6 linked regions of the Kluyveromyces lactis genome follow. The protein of the gene in region 4 interacts with the protein of the main gene of each other region in a biochemical or structural test. Links are inferred from orthologs where the notes say so. Each region holds a gene or a part of one and is shown on either strand. Other genes may lie near its edges.

The links.
Region 1: the proteins of CDC48 (region 4) and CUZ1 form a complex in vitro, tested with the Saccharomyces cerevisiae proteins (3 studies listed by BioGRID). The link is inferred for Kluyveromyces lactis from reciprocal best matches to the Saccharomyces cerevisiae genes CDC48 and CUZ1.
Region 2: the proteins of CDC48 (region 4) and OTU1 form a complex in vitro, tested with the Saccharomyces cerevisiae proteins (3 studies listed by BioGRID). The link is inferred for Kluyveromyces lactis from reciprocal best matches to the Saccharomyces cerevisiae genes CDC48 and OTU1.
Region 3: the proteins of CDC48 (region 4) and WSS1 form a complex in vitro, tested with the Saccharomyces cerevisiae proteins (2 studies listed by BioGRID, with this or other methods). The link is inferred for Kluyveromyces lactis from reciprocal best matches to the Saccharomyces cerevisiae genes CDC48 and WSS1.
Region 5: the proteins of CDC48 (region 4) and KLLA0_F01298g form a complex in vitro, tested with the Saccharomyces cerevisiae proteins (2 studies listed by BioGRID). The link is inferred for Kluyveromyces lactis from reciprocal best matches to the Saccharomyces cerevisiae genes CDC48 and UBX7.
Region 6: the proteins of CDC48 (region 4) and DOA1 form a complex in vitro, tested with the Saccharomyces cerevisiae proteins (4 studies listed by BioGRID, with this or other methods). The link is inferred for Kluyveromyces lactis from reciprocal best matches to the Saccharomyces cerevisiae genes CDC48 and DOA1.

The regions. Positions count from the first base shown.
Region 1 is NC_006040.1:935,604-938,175, forward strand, and holds CUZ1 (Cuz1p), read left to right. Parts: upstream 1-1,259; coding exon 1,260-2,072; downstream 2,073-2,572. Other genes in the region: GPA2 (guanine nucleotide-binding protein subunit alpha), read right to left, coding at 1-135. UniProt on the Saccharomyces cerevisiae protein: Promotes efficient arsenite-induced clearance of stress granules (SGs). May have a role in the ubiquitin-proteasome system (UPS) protecting cells from metalloid-induced proteotoxicity.
Region 2 is NC_006040.1:484,474-487,212, forward strand, and holds OTU1 (ubiquitin-specific protease OTU1), read left to right. Parts: upstream 1-1,279; coding exon 1,280-2,239; downstream 2,240-2,739. Other genes in the region: RFU1 (Rfu1p), read right to left, coding at 224-793; BUD20 (Bud20p), read right to left, coding at 2,406-2,739. UniProt on the Saccharomyces cerevisiae protein: Hydrolase that can remove conjugated ubiquitin from proteins and may therefore play an important regulatory role at the level of protein turnover by preventing degradation.
Region 3 is NC_006042.1:2,579,010-2,581,528, reverse strand, and holds WSS1 (metalloendopeptidase WSS1), read left to right. Parts: upstream 1-1,287; coding exon 1,288-2,019; downstream 2,020-2,519. Other genes in the region: KLLA0_F27885g (uncharacterized protein), read right to left, coding at 91-861; KLLA0_F27841g (uncharacterized protein), read right to left, coding at 2,417-2,519. UniProt on the Saccharomyces cerevisiae protein: Metalloendopeptidase that acts selectively on DNA-binding proteins. DNA is needed to bring the protease and substrates together to enable proteolysis.
Region 4 is NC_006042.1:553,099-557,293, forward strand, and holds CDC48 (AAA family ATPase CDC48), read right to left. Parts: upstream 2,801-4,195; coding exon 308-2,800; downstream 1-307. Other genes in the region: HNT1 (adenosine 5'-monophosphoramidase), read right to left, coding at 3,442-3,836, 3,985-4,036. UniProt on the Saccharomyces cerevisiae protein: ATP-dependent chaperone which probably uses the energy provided by ATP hydrolysis to generate mechanical force to unfold substrate proteins, disassemble protein complexes, and disaggregate protein aggregates.
Region 5 is NC_006042.1:120,601-123,669, forward strand, and holds KLLA0_F01298g (UBX domain-containing protein), read left to right. Parts: upstream 1-1,387; coding exon 1,388-2,569; downstream 2,570-3,069. Other genes in the region: serine/threonine protein kinase CHK1, read right to left, coding at 1-960; phosphatidic acid-binding protein CHM7, read right to left, coding at 2,677-3,069. UniProt on the Saccharomyces cerevisiae protein: Involved in CDC48-dependent protein degradation through the ubiquitin/proteasome pathway.
Region 6 is NC_006038.1:1,263,418-1,267,236, forward strand, and holds DOA1 (Doa1p), read left to right. Parts: upstream 1-1,198; coding exon 1,199-3,319; downstream 3,320-3,819. Other genes in the region: phosphatidylinositol-3-phosphatase SAC1, read right to left, coding at 1-883; YRA2 (Yra2p), read left to right, coding at 3,652-3,693. UniProt on the Saccharomyces cerevisiae protein: Ubiquitin-binding protein involved in protein ubiquitination, sorting and degradation. Acts as a ubiquitinated substrate-recruiting adapter for chaperone ATPase CDC48 by binding mono- or polyubiquitin chains.

The sequences.
Region 1 (2,572 bases), on a different chromosome or scaffold from region 4:
CTTGTCCTGCTTCTTGTCACCAGCTCCTTTCCTAACATCATTCCGCCTGTTAGCATCGTTTGCACCGGGACGATTCACTCTGGGACCCCCATCGTGAGTCGACTCCCGAGAATCCTTTGAGGCACATAAACCCATATCGTCAGCTAACCTTTTTCTTTTCCCAGCACGCTATGCAAATATGGTCGCTCAGCTTTCCTAAATTGGTTGGAAACTTAGTGATTTCTTAGACGTTCTATTTCAGAATATACCAACACCTGTTCTTAGAATTTTCCCTGTCCTTTTCCTTTCGTAAAGTTCTTTCAAATCAAACGTTATATGATTTTTCAATAATGTTAACCTGCTCAAAGAAACGAAAAAAATGGTGAAAACTGGTTTCTACGCTGGTTTGTGAAGGATACGCTGTGGTTAAAATGATGTGATATGCAATCGGTAGACCACTTTGTTGTCGGCTGTCAGACAGAAGTTGGTCGGTATTATATAGGGAGTATTTGAAATATAAGAAAGGGGAACTAGGAATTACTAAGATCCTTATTATTACGAGTTGTTTCAGCTGGAACTGTGCTCCCTTAAATACCATGCTCGTTATGTGGGTAGTTTGAACATGCAAAAAATTGCAAAATATTAATACCTCAGCTATCCATTCCAACTGATGGATTTTCCAAGTGGTTTTCCCTTCTCGTAGAAACTGAATATACACTCTTTACAATTGGGACTGACAAGCCTTTCGAAGAGATGTCAGTTTCTACATGGTGATTAGAAACTCGAGTGGAAAAACTTCTGGAGACACCCAGCATGATCACTGGAGAACAACATTTATGTAAAGAATAAACCTGTAGCCTCGGCTGAATGTACTGTATAGGAGAGAAGACCATTGGAATAGCTCCGTTTGTGTTACTATTAAGAGTAGCTGTAATTGACACATTGAGACAGGAACACTCGTTACCCGAATATTATAAATACATTTGTCACGTGATTTTGCTGGCATCTTCCACAGTATTCTCTCATAGACTTGTGTAAAATGAAGATGAGTAAGGCAGAGATCATCACTGGCTATGATATGGATGGCGGGACGTATTTGTCATATCGCTTATATATATAAAGAGCACCTGGCAAGGCCGATAATATACACAGGTTGTTTGCCACTTGGGATGAGTTTCTCACTTTGATATCGATTTGTGTTATTTGTGTTTTATAGAACTCCAGGTCCGGGACCAAGACTGATCAAGGGCTAAAAGAAGAAATAATACAGTTGATAAACAATGACTAAAGAAGTTGGTATGCTAGATGTCGGCACACACTGTTCGTTTTGTCGACAGACTGATTTCCTACCGTTCCATTGTTCTGCTTGCAACGGTGATTTTTGTGCCAACCATAGATTGAAGGAAGATCATCACTGTGAATCACTGAAGATAGGTAAGAATAGCCGCAGCAGTGTCACAGTTAGTATTCCTGCTGCTGCTGCTGCTGCTGTCACTCCGAAGAAGGACAATGGTGGTAGCTTCTTTCAATCTTTGTTACCTGCCAGAGCACCAGATCGGATAAAGACCATGATGCAAGAGGATAACTCGAAACCACCGGTAGATAACCTAAAATCGAAGCTTTTCAACAGTAAAACCTCCAGTTCTCGTGTAGCTATCGATAAACTACGGCATTTTTTCGCCAAGAACGGTAAATTATTCGAGAGTAAGAAATCTACTACCAAATTTTCTTCTGCCAATAAGCTAATACAAGTCACTAAGATGAAGCGCACTGCAAAGGGAGATGATTCTATCCCTGTCGCAAATAGAATATACGCATGGTGTTACGTGGTGGCGGACTCTTCGGATAAGAAACCCATCGCGAATGAAGTGTTCATAAATAAGATGTGGCCAATTGGAAGAGCTTTGGATTCCTTGGCATCTGTGCTAAACGTGAAAAATTCAAACATCGACCATTCGATATCAACAGATGAGAAGTTATTTTTGTACAAAGGTGATGCTTCTACTCAGCATCTATTACCCTCGAGTGCGCGAGTCAATGCCACCATCCAGGAAGGTGATACTTTATATTTGGTAAGAGGGTTAGGTCGATGATTGCAACGCCGCGTAATGGAATCTGAAGGATAAAATAGCACATTCTTTTGGTCTTTACTTATAGCATAGTTCATGTAGTTTCGTAATTACGTCTTACAGTCAAACACAATGACACTTGTCACGTGACAGATTAAGTTGTCGAAACATTACTGCATCAAGCTACAGACATGGTACCAGCCGAGTGCGTTTCGCCCAAGCTACAAATCCGGGTAATAGCAACTGCGGCAAATATGGACGGTTCTTACATTTGGAAATACCCTGCGGCCGCAGTGATTTCTCACAAAGAACGTAAGTATTAATCTGCCAAAGAGTGGCCCGGTCAAGGTGACTAAACCAAGATAATTTGGTGGCTGGGGATTTTAAGGTAGGCTCTCAATCGACTTTGTACGCTCGAGCATTGTTTCTAGTTGCTTCTGTGCATTATACTGACATCTCAAGAAGACAATTAATACTCGCCGTAATTACACTAGGACTCGTTATGTGACAAATACAATTTCCGA
Region 2 (2,739 bases), on a different chromosome or scaffold from region 4:
CCTAACATGAAATGAGAGGTTCTAGTCTTCATCATCCGAAACACTGTATCTGGTATCTAGTTCAAAGGTAATAACATTTTTCTCATAGTATTTGTAACATTTATGAATATCTGTAATGACTGATGATGAAACTGAAATGCGTAAATGTTAAACGCGGAAAACAAGGTAAAATTAGTGTATAGGTGACTATATGCAAGGAGATGCTAAATTAGTAAAGATAAATCTATAATGCTGGCATGGTATATGTGACCGACGTGGATGTCGCATTGAGTTCTGGTAATTCGGGATATTCATTGTTAGAGTCTGACTGTGCTGAAAAATGCTTTGAACTGTGATTAAACCAACTTATAGATTGGTTGAATTTTTGTTCATCAAAGGAACTCGGAAGATTAATTTCATCCGAAGGATTTGTCGTCATGACAGCCGGCGATCTCACGTAGGTCGATGTCGCAACATTGTTTGCCAATGACTTGTATCTTGCATCTATTTTGATTTTCAATTCCTCAGTAATCTTCATGATAGCAGGGACTTCCAACTTCAGCAGTTGGAAGTATTCTCTTTTGTATAACGATTCCACTGATGTGTTAACTTCTGAATGATGCACAAGTCTATTCAGACAAAGATCTAAGTATCTAATATAAAGAAGATATGCGCGCTCCATATTATTGCACCTGGCACTATTTTGAGCTTCCTCGACAATGCTAATGCAAGTTGTCAGATACAATTTCAGAGGCACATTTGAATTGAATCTATAATTAAGAGCTTCTTGCTTTAAGTGTGAACTGGATTTCATTGTATCAGATGGAGTAGCAGTGTTTAATTAATTCGGGTACCGTATATTCTTTCGAGTAAAAGGAAAAAGCTGGGATTTAAAAAGATTATTCAGTTTAACGGGTTCTTCTCCTATTTTCCAAATCGCATCTATAACTCAAGCTGACACAACGCTTGCCCAACAGCAGCTGATCCACCACTGGTGCCAATAAACTAAAAGTTCCATTATTTCTTCATGCACTCAACCTGTCATCTCATCTCATCTCGTTGTGGTTTTGACGTTTACTGTTCTTGCATGCAAAGAAAAATGTTTGCTGTGATGTACGGGTTAATTTCACTTGAGCATGTGATCTGTTTTTGGAATCCTCTAAGTGCCTAAGCAATAAGGGGAAAATCGGATAGAACAACAGACTATCTATCCATCCCCAAGAGGATAGCCATAGCATTTCCATATATATCTGTCGAATAACCACCGCTAAACGAGACTTAATATATTTCCTATTCGCAGATGAGGGTCAAGGTATCTATTTCTGGGAAGAGCGACAAAGTTTTAACTGTCGAAGCCGAATGTGATTTGGAAACATTTCAGGGACTCATTCTGTCCTCATATGAAGATGATCTATCATTGCAGAGTATGCGGTACGGATTCCCACCTCAGAGTATACTTTTTCAGGGGAATGAGGCTAAGACACTTGAAGAGCTAGGAATATGCAATGGGGAACGGATCATAGTGAGCCTGAGTAAAGCCGATGAAGCTATTGCCACCAGAACACAACCAAGTATTAATGCCAGTAAAGCAAATACACTACCCAATAAAGAAGTGAAAAAGAAGCCCACTGGTAAATCTGAAAGTGTACAGATAGATTCAACTAGAGCACTACAACTCCATGAAGTGCCCGATGACAATTCGTGTCTATTCCATGCTATATCCTATGCTGTCTACAAGAACATTTCACTGTCATCAGAACTACGGGGAGTTGTGGCGTCAGAAGTCCGGAGAGACCCATTTGAATATTCAGATGCTATTCTTGGCAGGCCGAATCATGAATACAGTGAGTGGATAATGAAACATTCTTCATGGGGAGGTGGTATCGAGATTGCAATATTATCGAAACATTTTCAGTATGCGATATACGTGCTCGATGTGGATGCACGTAAATTCGAGAAATTCAACGAGGATTTATACGATAAATTTATTATTATAGCATATAACGGAGTTCATTATGATACGGTAGAGATATTTGATGGAACTCAGCATCAAACTGTATTTGACATCGGAGAGAAAGATACTGAATTCCTTTTACAAAAAACACAGGAGATCGCGAAGAAGATGAAAAGAGAGGGGAAGTCTTTCAATACTGCAAGAGATTCAATTTTATGCAATACTTGTGGCACCACCTTGATTGGAGAACGAGAGGTGAGCAAGCACGCTGAGAAAACTGGTCATGTTGATTTTAGGCAAAAATAAAACAAATATAACCATTGAATAATATTGAAGAAAGAAATAGCACTTAATATATGAGCGTCTGTATATCTACCAGTTTATATAATTGCACTTTCGGTGTATTTCTCTTGTGTTAAATGATAATATACATTGAAGAAAAAGCACAGGAAGTGAAAATGTTTTCCTGCATCTAATCAGCCATTTGAATTTCCCCTTCAGCAACTACAGCTTCTTGCTGTGCTTGTTCCTGTACTGCACCATCAAGGTATGGCAAAGTGGATTCTGTTGTGCTGACGTTGGCCAAAGTGGTATCAAGATGTGAGGTTAATATCTTTTCGTTTTCCTCCTTTTGAGGACCAATTTGAGATTTGATCTGCTCTACTCTAGCCAAGAACGAGTTCACACCACACCCAACAGCAGCATCTGCTACCTGTTGAGTGTATGGAACACCTTTCAATTCCTTCACCCTTCTCTTATGGATTTTAGTCTTCAAATGAGTCTTTAAGGCATATGCAGTTTCGAAA
Region 3 (2,519 bases), about 2.0 Mb from region 4:
ATAGGATTAGTATTATAAACTTTAGGAAAGAAGATGTTCGTATAAATATTGTGACATGAGGTAATTGCCGCTGAACTTATACATATATATTTATTGACGGTATAAAAATTTTCCTAGTCTTGTGAAGAATAGTAGACCAAGGAAGTAGAAATCAATGAAATATAACAACTGTGCGCTATCGGTAATGTCTTGATAGCAGGTCACGCAAGTGACTAAACCAATAGCCAAACCAGATGCTAGCATAGTAAATGAGCTGTCAAAGAACAACCAAAGGATAATGTTGAGTAAGAACCATGCACCACTTGCTTGTAAACTGGAAGACCATTCAATTCTACGAATCCCAAAAGAAACACCTAACATGGCATTTGTAGATCTTAAAACACTAGAAATAGTGGTTGGTTGCCGATCAAAGGTTCCAAGTATCCAGTTTACAAATGGAACGATACTTCCGAAAAGTATACCTTCGATGGCGTAAAATGTCCAAGGTGGTAAATACCCAAAACTTAATGATTGTGCAATAGTGGCACCCAATAATAACGGGCGGGAAGTAAAGTCATTATGCAATTCATGATTATCATGTAAGTTCTTTGATAATTCATGATAAGCGATGCCTGCTATCGATAGTACAACCCATGCTAAAGCCACATTGACAGAACTAGGGATTTTCTTAGCACGTTGTACTATTCCATTTTCTAATTCTTTACCACTTGATGCTTTTTTAACTTCTTCATAGATCTCTGAGTCCTCGCTCTTGAGCACATCAGCATCATATAGTCCATACAATGCAGGCTTCGTCAACAAGTTGGACGACTCTGAGCTTCCGTACTTTGATCCCGTGCTATTCGACGCGCTTTCTGTCATGTTTTTGATGAACGACAATAATTTAGTTTATTACCAATAAATATATTGTTTCACAGGTCAATTAAATCACTGTGGAACTGTACGTAAGCTTGAGTTGTATTGGTGGATCCTAAAATCGATTGGAAATCTCAGGGTGTGTGGACACTTTAGAATAAATTAGAAAGGAATGTGGTTTGTACGATATGTATTTTTAAAAAATTTAGTTGAAATAGTGGACTATCGATTTTTGTTTTAAGAATCGTATTTAAACATTTCAAAAGAACCTCCATTTGGAGACACATCAAACGAAGAGACCAAAGGAAAAATTGGATTTTAGTATTGGATACTACTGCGGATGATAACAGTAGAATATCCTATGGATATGAACTAACTAAAAAAGTTGCGCTATTGAAAATTAATGACAGCCTATATACGGACAACGCACAGATGGTTCCTCCGATACAAAAGAATCCGCATGTAGGAAGCATTGCAGTATTGCAAACAAAACCAGGAAAAAACGATGCATTAAACATATTGAAAAGGGTCGCTCATAACGTATCGTATCTGATGAAAGAGGAAAGGTTCAAAGTAAGACAATTAGTTGAGTTTTATCCACGGAATCGATCACTTTTAGGTATGAACGTGAACAAAGGCATGAAGATCATGTTGCGGCTTAGAGACCCATTAGACGAATATAAATTTCTACCGATAGAATCTATTATGGGTACCATGCTTCATGAGCTTACCCATAATTTACATGGTCCTCATGACCGAAAGTTTTACGAAAAGCTGGATCAATTATCGGGAAGACAATGGACCATTGAACAAATGGGACTTTACGACAGCTTTCTCGGCACCGGGAAAAGATTGGGTAGCAAACCGATGGGGTCGATTATTATTGGAAAGACATTAGAAAGAGGTAAAGGAAGAAGACTAGGTGGTACGACACCTGGAACAGGACCAAGAAGGAATGCTAGAGAAATGGCAGCAATCGCGGCAGATAAAAGGGCAGCGGATAACAAAACATGCTGCAACTCAAATGATCAGAAAAACTATATGCCTGTTCAAGAAGATCTAGTAATAGAACTTCTTGATGATGATTCAAACGAAGAGAATCATAATATTGAAGTCACCAAGTTAGAAACCGCTGGGGGTATAGAAATTATGGATTTGACGTGAACTGCAACATCTGAGATCATAAAGAGATGAAATTAGATAACCAAGGAATGTTGGTTTACATATTCATTATCTTATTACTTCCCTACTTGGAAACCTTGACAAAGAAAAGATTACAACAGTAATTTTATTTAGTTATAAAGTATTTGAATGTCAACAGTAATGAAGCCACCGCTGCCCAACCAAATAGAAAACAAATTACATGAGGCCGTCGGGAAACTAAACAAAAGATGTATGGAAGTGCCACATAAATCTTTTTTAGATTTGAATTCACTTAAGGTTAGAAACGAAAACATGATTAAGATTGGTGTCAACCGTAAAAAGATCATTGATCTAAAGAATAACAAATGGCAATCGGTTAAAGAACATGGAATATCAATACGATCATAGGAGTCAACAGTCACCCTAAAATTGAACGCAAGCAGATAATAATAGACACAATTTTGATTGAGGCAGCCATTAAGGAAACTGATCCCCTCAACTTATCATTTTGTCTACCATTA
Region 4 (4,195 bases):
GTATTCATTAATATAATTTGGTTTTACTTCGGAGACCCTGTATTGCTTTGCCTGGCGAAAATATACCATTGCACTACTAGGTCGAATTAAAGATGAATTCAAGACCCAAAATTGGAAGGGATAGCTAAGACTGATGAATCTTTTAACCATATTAAAACCAGTTATCTCAAATATCCTGTTACACGTGATTAATAGATAATATTTAATCTCTACGTAAATTTAGCAACAAGTATTCCTCTGTATTGTAATTTATTACATTTCATTTTGCATCGAAAAAGACCTGTTATGTTTTGTGAAGGTTATGTATCTAACTGTACAAATCATCGTCATCTTCACCAGCGGCATCTCCGAAAGCTGCACCAGAACCCTCAGCACCAGCTTGAGTTGCGGCAGCACCTGAATCATCACCAAACGAGAAGTTGCCGAATTGTCCTCTGGATGCCTTCATCTGTTGAGCATAAGCTTCGTAACGACGAAGCTCAGTATCTGTAACAGAACGCTTGGCTGTTTTCATAGCTTCAGTGAAGTGTTCTTTGGTAATGAATGGAACTGGATCCTCTTGTTGAACGTCTGACATTTCAACGTCTTCTTCTGTCTTGACCTTCTCGGTTTCTTCTGCACCTTCTTCTTTCTTGACAACTTCTGCACGTTTTTGTGCCTCGATGGAATCTTTAATGGCAAACTTCGCAGCTCTCTGTACGATATATAATAAATCTGCACCAGAGAATCCCTGTGTAGCTTGAGCGATGGTCTTTAGATCTAGTCCTGGTTCTAATGGTGTATTTCTTAATTGGGCTGATAGAATAGATAATCTTCCTGTTTCGTCTGGTAATGGAACGTAGATCAATTGATCCAATCTACCAGGTCTTAAAATAGCTGGATCGATTTGATCTGGTCTGTTAGTGGCACCAATAACGAAAACGTTCTTCTTGGCGTTCATACCATCCATTTCGGTCAATAATTGGTTAACCACTCTGTCAGATGCACCACCTGCATCACCTAAAGAACCACCACGAGCCTTAGCAATGGAGTCCAATTCATCTAAGAAAACGACAGTTGGGGCTGCAGCTCTGGCTTTGTCGAAAATATCACGGATATTGGATTCGGACTCACCGTACCACATACTTAATAACTCAGGACCCTTGACCGAAATGAAATTAGCAGACACTTCGGTGGCGACAGCCTTAGCTAACAAAGTCTTACCAGTACCAGGAGGACCGTAGAACAACACACCCTTCGATGGTGACAAACCAAACTTGGTGTATTGATCTGGATGCAAGACTGGATATTCGACGGTTTCCTTCAATTCATCCTTAATTTCATCCAAGCCACCGATATCATCCCATGTGACATTAACAGATTCTACAACGGTTTCACGCAATGCGGATGGGTTGGAGTTACCCAATGCAAATCTGAAGTTGTCCATAGTAACTCCTAATGAGTCCAACACTTCGGCGTCAATTTCGTCTTCATCTAAGTCAATTAGGTCCATCTTTTCACGAATTTGTTGCATAGCAGCTTCAGAACATAGGGAGGCAATATCAGCACCAACATAACCATGGGTTTCAGCGGCCAACTTTTCTAAGTCGACGTCGTCAGCCAACTTCATATTTTTAGTGTGAATACGTAAGACTTCCAATCTACCAGTAACGTCAGGAACACCAATATCGACTTCTCTATCAAATCTACCGAATCTTCTCAAAGCAGGATCGATAGAATTGGGTCTATTGGTGGCTGCAATGACAACGATGTTGGATCTAGCCTTCATACCATCCATTAGAGTCAATAATTGAGAAACGACTCTTCTTTCCACTTCACCGTTAGTCTTGTCACGCTTTGGTGCAATAGAATCAATTTCATCGATAAAAATAATGGCCGGAGCATTCTTTTCTGCTTCTTCGAAAGCCTTTCTCAAGTTGGATTCAGATTCACCAGCCATCTTGGACATGACTTCTGGACCATTGATTAAGAAGAAAAATGCACCTGTCTCGTTAGCCACAGCTCTGGCCATTAGAGTTTTACCGGTACCTGGAGGACCGTACATCAAAATACCCTTCGGAGGTTTGATACCAATGGCCTTAAATAGTTGTGGGTGTCTCAATGGCAATTCGACCAATTCTCTAATTTGAGCCATTTGCTTACGACAACCACCAATATCATCATAACCGACTTCATTGATGTTATTTTCTTCATCTTCTCTGTTAATTGGCTCACCTTCACTATGAATGACAGTATCTTGGGCAACAACACCGTACTCTTCAGGCTCAACGTCTACGACCTTGAACTCTACTTGTCTCATACCACCTCTAACGATAAAGTGGTCACCTTTTCTAACCGGTCTATAAGCTTCGACAAAGTATGGCTTCAAGTACACATCAAATAGATTACCAGTCAACCCCTCGATGGTGTCAGCGATTGGCAACACTGAGATTCTGGAAGCATACTTGATATCGGTACATGGATGGATAGTGACCAAATCACCGAGTCTTATTCTCAAGTTGTTACGAATAACACGGTTTACTCTACAGACACCATCTTCCAGTTCGTCATCAATCATAACAATCAAAACGGTGTCCTTTCTCTTCTTACCCTTGACTAAAACGGTGTCACCACGGAACAATTGTAAAAGATCCATAGTGTTAGAATTGATAGCAATGATAGAATTGTCATCGTTAACTGCATCATCGACCAGTAACATGTTTTGCTTCTTCTTTCTTCTCAAGATGGCAGTGGCGGTAGCATCATCTGCGTCAGCTGCAGTGCCAGAACTATCTAACAATTTCTTATGTTCTTCTGGCATGTTCTCTTAATAACTGAGGTGAAAAGTTGTTTTAAAGATACTGTAATTCCTTCTGGTAGGATCCACGATGTAATTAAGCTCTTGGTAAACAGGATATGCAGGTTTCTTGATTAACTTCTGAAATTGGACCTTATTTCTTCTTATTTCAACCAAAAGACGGAAGATAAAACAAAAATTAAATAACTTGATCTAACCCCTAATCTGGTGATTCAATGATTCAATTAAAGGAGACAATTATTGTAAATCCCTGGTGAGTGCTTTATTTAATCTAGCGTTCACTTACTGGTGTTAATCCTGAAAATAACCTTCAAGGATCACCGAAAATAGTGTGCAATACTTATATATAATAAATCGCTTCCCTCTTTATAATCTAGAGATTTCAGAATTTGCCACCGGATATGTGAAATTTCGGCCGGGTAACAATATTTTTTCATCTCCTCTCTAAGAAGATCCCTCCCACAATGCGAATGAGCTATTGGATTCCTTATGTGAATGGTAAGTAGAAATTGGTACAGTAGGAAATATGTAGTTATAATATATATGAGACGATCTCAATGATCATCTTCGTTAGCTTCGTCAGCTTCGTCAGCTTCGTCATCTTCGTCATATCTTGGTCTCTTTCATTGCGAAAAAGATCGCGCTTAGGTTTCTAGTTTGGCAAGCAACTTTTTATGCATTTCACTCAGCTTAGCAAAATCAGTTTCCTGTGCAGGCCAACCTACGATTAATCCAGCATCCTTTGTTTTCTTTGGGATCAAATGGAAATGCACGTGATCTACTTCTTGATGGGCTATTCTACCGTTGTTTTGAAGGACATTGTACCCTGGACCATCAGGACCATCTTGGTCGAAGCCAATGGCTTTCACTAACTTCTTAGTAACTGGCAACAGGTCAGCTAAGTATTCATCTGGGATGTTGTGCAATTTCCCACCGTGGTGCTTTGGAATGATAAGAATGTGGTTCTCTTCAGTTGGTTGGATGTCAAGGAACGAGTAAGAATACTGAGTTTCAACCAATTTGAAAGAAGGGATTTCACCTGAAAGTACACCAGTAGTGGAATCTGTTAGTATTATAGTTCATAAGATCAAAGAGCTAGTCTAAGCCACTTGGGTGGTTGCGAGCATGCAAAAACCAAGGGGAGAAACAGATATTTGTTCTCACCTAACAATTTGAGGTTTACATACCTTTGATAATCTTGCAGAAAATACAAGCAGCGTCGTGGGCAACAGCACTCATTGGTATCGGCTTATTAAACGTTTGAATTCACACGTATCGGTACTTATTGCAATATTTCTTTCGACTGCGAAAATGTTGGAGAATCTGCAACTAATTGGAGTTCAGTCTTTTTTCATCATTATACATTTGTGTATTGGCCCTTATATATATGTTCTTATG
Region 5 (3,069 bases), about 430 kb from region 4:
CGTAGAAGATAAATAATCGGCATCTGATAGAGAAACTTTAAGCTTTGATAGTAATTTTTCTGCAAGCAAAGAAGGATTTTTACAAAGGCCATTTTCATCTGCAAATTTCGGATTTGTTTGATACCATGTATGTTTCCGTAAAGTATCCAAAGAAGCTCTTTTCTCTGGATCTGGTTGTAATATTTTTCTCAAGAGATTCAATTCAACGAAATCTATCTTCAGCCAAGATCCCTGATCTAGCTTTCCTTCGCCTTTAATAAAGTTTCTAAACGTTTCATCGTCCTCGTGAGGAAGTTCCCAAGGCGTTTCTCCAGTCAACAAAACGAATAATAGAACACCAATGGACCAAATATCTGTCATATCAGCATAGTACCCATCACAGTATATTATTTCCGGTGCCATGTAGGGAAGACTTCCTCGTTGATCTCTAGAAATACGTTTTGATCCATCTTTTCTCTTGAACAGCGATGCTAGCCCAAAATCTGCAAGTTTTAAATTCCCATCTTTATCCAATAGGATATTTTCCGGCTTGATATCCCTATGGGCAACACCACAGGTATCATGCAGATAACTTATAGCTTTTATAAGTTGTTTATAATAGAATTGGGCGACTTCCGAGTCGACTCCAATGTCAGGTTCGATTTTATCGAAAAGATCACCACCTTCAGCCAGTTCCATGGCTATCCAAAGAAACGGATCAGAAAGATTGCAATCTATAACCTTTAGCACATTAACAAAATTAGAGCATCTAGAATGTAACTTAACTTCCCTCAACACATCTTCCTGACTCATACCTTGTTTCTCACATGAAGGAAGATGTATGAATTTGACAGCAATTACAGTGGACGGATCAACTTCTAAACTAGCTCTCTTCACAAAGGCAAAGGAGCCCTTCCCAATTGTTCTTCCTAGTTGTAATCCATCAATATGAGGGAGCTGAGCTATCTGTGAAAAGCTCATCAATACATCAATCGAAGTGTTCTTCTTTTACTTCTTTTTTGTTCTTGTCGGTTCGTATCTCAGAAATCTCCAGCTATATCAGCCAAACGCACATTCAATATTTACGCAACTGATGTGCTCAAAATATCATCCAACCGTCCTAACTGAACCCCAAGTGATTTACCTAGGATAACACGTCGGAGACTCGTATATAAATCCCGTTTTCCCCATAAGTATCATCATAAAACTATTGTTTTTCTTTTCTGATCAGATCTGCGATAGTCATTAGTTTCTGTCATTTCTTTGCATTTATAAAAACGTACATTGAAAGGGGTTTTACTACGTTTATAGTTTAATCAGTGAACAATAAACAAATCCGATACTGTTGATAGAAGCAACGAAGCAGTGGTGAGCTTTTTAGGAGTGGTAAGTGTAAGATTAGGCAAATATGAATACGATGGATACACTGGATACGCATTTTGTTTCCTCTGTGGAAAATGCGGTACAAGAATCATTGCGAGAGAACAAGGCGTTATTGGTTTATACTACGGGCGGAGATAATTCGTGGTTTGAGTCGTGGTTTACACCACTTGTAGGGGAGCAGTTGAAGGATTCGTGCGTTTGGTTACGTTTAGCTGCTGGAAGCAGGGAAATGGGTTACTTTGAGCAAATATTCCCGGATGTGAAGGTTCCTAGCGTTTATTGTATTGCTAAGGGACAAATAGTGGAGATGATAAATCCAGATCAGTTGGACATGGACGGATTTGCTACTAGGTTGATCCGGGCAGTTGGTAAAAGCAAGAGGAGAATCTCTGAAACGGATGCCGTTGATGCATCCAATACCGTTGGTGCCGCTGGTGATACCGGCGCCAGGTCCGGTAGCTGTCTGTCACAAAATGCGAAATTGATGGAGTACCAAATAAAGGCCAAGAAGCACCAGTTGACAGAACAACAGGAAAGAGAACGTATTGTTAGATTGATGAAAGCGGACCGTGAAGAAATGAAGCAACGAAGATTATCGTCATCATCTCCAAATCATACTAAGGAACACATCAATGAAGTATTGGCTGTACCCATTCACGATAATATTAAAAACAGAGATATAATAAACGCAGCAGTGTGCACCTTGCTTATAAGATTAACAGACGGTAAGACATTGAAAAACGATTTCGATTCGTCTCAAACTTTAAACGATGTAAGGACTTGGGTGGATGCCAATAGGACAGATAAGGATGGTCCGTACCAGTTCCATCGAAGTATTCCACGTGAAACTTTCACAGAATCACAAGAATTACTATCTTTGAAAGCTCTGGAGCTTACTCCAAGATCTGCATTAATCTTGAAGCCTTTGGAAAAGCATACATATTCTCGTAAGATTGCAGATGTAGAAGGACCAGGTTTGCTTGGGAAAATGTATCAGAACGTGACGTCCTGGTGGTACGGTAAATCAACGGTTGTTGATCAAAATATTCCTGAACCTGCTGAAGCATTAACATCTCAAGCTTCATCTAGATATGTTTCTCCCTTATCTTCCCCTCGTCTGGTACACTCTGATGCATCGATACCCTCAAGAGCTGTCTCTCCATCTTCTATACATTACGGCCATGTCTCAGACGACAACAGCAGATAGCACACCTGATTTATGAATCGCCTTTATGTTAAATATCATATGTATGCATGAACGAATTAAATATACATATTAATACCAAATATGAGCAATCACTCTTATCGGAAGAATTAGGCCAACAGTTTCTCGGTCATCTCTTCCTTTTTCGGTTCCTTCACTTCCGTCTTCTCTGCACGAGGAGAGTCCCTGCTCGATACCCTCAAGGATCCAAGTTTCTTTATCAAATCTTCTGTTGAGCCAGATTCCAAAGGTGCTGCAGATTTTTGTTCTTCGATCTTCTTTTTCTCCTTCTCTTTTGTATCCTCTGTTGATAGCTCCTTCTCTAACAGTGACAATTCTTCTTCAAGAGCATCATTGTCGGAAACCGACTCTCCTACTAACAAATTATGAATACGGTCTTGCTTCTCTGTATTTTCTTGGAAATCATCTAATATGTTTGAAATAGAATCTTCATCTAAAAGTTGTGAATTGATAGCCTTCAAAGCGGTACTGCCTTGTTTTAA
Region 6 (3,819 bases), on a different chromosome or scaffold from region 4:
TTTGTTCATCGAAATGCTTCTTGGTTGCATCTAACGAGCTGTTCTCAGCCAACAACAAGTTCGGCTTGTACTTTAAATTGTTCAACTCTGCCCAATAAACTGGCACGGAACCCCTCGTTTGTAAAAAAGAGAAGAAGTGATAGCCATCCTTCATTGGCTTTTGAACACACAGCACCTGCTCTGTCTCGTTGAAGTTACCAACATTACCGTGTTCGTCAATGCCTCTGCGGAAATATCTAGTTCCGGCCCTAAATATACTCCTTCTCGTGATCAATCCAATCGAAATCGGAGTCGCATGGAAAACAGTATCAACAACCTTAGCATACCCATAGATCATAGGAATAATGAAGTCTGATACCCTGTCATCAACTTTAGCAAGCTTCTGCAAGGATTCTGTCACGTAATAGTTCCAAAAGAACCTCCTGTCCGCTTGTTCCCACGACACAGCTGATGACTCTAGTTCTTCGTTCCTTTGAGCACTGTTTGTCAAATCGTAACCATACGAATAGAACAGAGTCGCACCAGCTAAATGCTGTTCCAATAACTGCAAATACTGAGACTCATCAGAATCTGGTCTCTGCTTCTTATCAACGCTGATAATCGTGTGCTCAGCCACCTTGTACACATTATGACCGTTCAAACAACCAGCTTCCTCGACTCTATTGGCAATAATCACGTACTTACCGAACTTCAACTTGATGATACCGATCAACGCAGCCACCTTCATGATATTTCCACGAACAGGAAACTCAGTACTGCCCAAAACGTTCACCTCGTTCTCGTGTGTTGACACATTTAGAACCGCGTCGTTCTTCGAAGAAGAACTGGCTACCTTTAACAGGACCCTATCCTTCTCCTGGCACACAAGTAACGGACCTCTCATTTTCTAAGGAGATTCTCAGAGCACTGAATTGAATACGATTCAGCAAATTCAGGTACAATTGGATCCTCTGTTGGCGTGTCTCGTGTACTTGATAAACTAATTCATGATAAAGTTGCGTAACTGAATTTGTTTATTTCGAAAGTTTGATTTAAACAACTAAGCGAATGTCAAAAATAAAGGTATTAGCGTGGGAAAGAGCAACTACTGAATAAAACAGGGCTTTCCAAGTATACAAAGTATTTTAATCAGGTTCAGGTGATTTTATTTGATAGGTCTAATAGTTGTAATTGTACTGGTACCAATTTTAAGTGAGAGATGTACCAACTTAGCGCACAATTGCGTGGTCACACACAGGACGTGAGGAGTGTGGTTTCTTTAAGTACGACTCAGGTGGCAAGTGCCTCTAGAGATGGTACAGTTAGGATATGGAATTTGGATGCGGATGGGAATTGGGAAGGTTCTATTGCGTTTAGCAGTGAAAAGTTTGTGAACAGTTTGACGTACGATGCTAAGCAGTGTGTTCTATTTTGCGGTGGCCAAGAAAAGATTATTTACGGTGTGTCTCCGTTGCTTGCTCTGGGGCAAGAACCGGTTTATACTTTAGTAGGCCATGAGGGGAACATTTGCTCACTTTCTGGAGACTTTGAAAGCCTAGTGAGCTCCTCTTGGGACAAGACTGCTAAAGTGTGGACTAATGGGATTGTAAAATGGGAACTTAAGGGACATTCGGCCTCTGTATGGGATGCCAAGCTCTTGAACGATGGGAGCGTCCTTACAGCGTCAGCAGATACTACAGTTAAGTTATGGAAAAATGGTACGCTGGCTAAGACTTTTGATAAGTTACATTCCGATGTGGTTAGAAATATATGTATTCTTGACGATGGAAAGCATTTTGTTAGTTGTTCCAACGATGGTACTTTGAAGCTATCCAACTTGGAAGGCGGTATTTTGCACGAGTTTATAGGTCATGAAAGCTTTGTCTATGCTGTGAAACAACTGCCAAGCGGAGATATTGTGTCTTGTGGTGAGGATAGAACCGTTCGTATTTGGAACATGGATGGAACTATCAAACAAGTCATTACTTTACCAGCGATCTCCATTTGGACCGTCGATGTGTTACCCAATGGCGATATTGTTGTTGGTAGCAGTGACAAAATCATCAGAATCTTTACTGAGAATGAGCAAAGACTTGCATCCCAGGAAGAGATCACATCTTTGCAAAAACAAGTGGAGGAATCTGCCGTTAACGCACAGACGATGGGGTTTGACGAATCGAAGTTGAAACCATCGTCAGTGCTTCAGAAGCCGGGTGAAAAGGAGGGTCAGATTGTTGTTGTCAAGAATGAGAATGGTGTTATAGAGGCACATCAGTTCACGGGAGGTTCTTGGAGTAAAGTCGGAGACGTTGTTTCATCTGCCGGTAGCGATAATAAGGTTGAATATGAGGGTAAGAATTACGATTTCGTGTTTGATGTTGACATCGAAGAAGGCAAACCACCGTTGAAACTACCCGTCAATGCAAACGATAATCCGTACGATGTTGCAGATAAATTCATAATTAGATACGAGTTGCCAACAAGTTATAAGGATCAAATTGTCCAATTCATTGTGACAAATACTAAGTCGACTACATTAGATCAACCTTCTGATATTTCCAGACATGCAGACGTCAATTATAAGATATTCCCCGTGAAGAAGTACCTAAAACTTACATCTTTCAACCCAGATTCTTTGTTCAATGGTATTGTGAAACTTAATCAGGCAGAAAATACCTTTGACGATGACGCACTTGGGGCAATCGGTTCAGCTTTGCACGATGTGGAAAACAACATTGAACTATTGTATGCGCATGCATGCATCATTAAAAATCAATGGAAGGGGAACAAAACACCCGCATACGATATAGTTAGAATTCTAACCCCAAAGTTACCTTCAAGTGACGACATGAGTGAGTTTATCGAGGAAGGACTTTCACAAGAAAATCCAATCTCTACAATGCTAACTACAAGAATGTTAGCCAACTGTTTCTCTAACCAAATTTGGGGGAAAGAGCTCATGGGTAAGCCAGCATTGTACGATTCCGTGTTCCAAATATTGGACGGTGATTATCCAAATTGCAAACCTCAACAAAAAGACAACTTGGCTATTGCAATCGCCACTCTACTCTTCAATTATACCGTATACATCCTGGAATCCAATGATCAACAAATTCTTCCAATCATTGCTGATGTACTTAATACAAAATACGGATCATCATCTCTGTTCCTCAACAGTGAAGAAGCTACATATAGACTCCTAATCGCTTACGGAAATCTAGCCACTGTAGAACCATCGTTACATCAATACGCTAAATCCATCTCCTGGATTATCAGAGCTAAGGATAAATACGGTAAGATAGGTAGATTCGAAGATGTATTCGAAGACTTATTTAGATGATGGTAGTCTTTGATCATTAAATATTACATACATACATAAAGATACAACTTCTCCGGGTTAATTTGCTATCAAGTTATCAAATATGGTGGTGTTCTGTCAATGCTAGTGAGTGGATCATAATTCAATCATCATTAGAGTAGTTGAAGCGCTCGTCTCTTCTTTAATCCTATTCATGTACATAAGCATTTCTTGAAAAATTATAAAGGAAAGTTTAGTCAAAGTTTACATTTAACATGTAAGTAAAGGTTTGAACGAAAGATTGACAATTTCAAGGGTGAATAAGTTCAATTGAGGCACTAGCTGACCAATAAAAAACAATCACACGTTTTAAAATGTCTTTTGAGCGGGACTTAGAGAGCATTGCTGAAGGAAAAGTATGTTCTAACCAGTTTTCATTCCAGTTACAGATTTCTACATCAGAAGCAAACCGAACATTTTACTAACTCATTTCAACAAATTCAAACTAATATGAACCAGACACGTCAACACCATGCAGTATG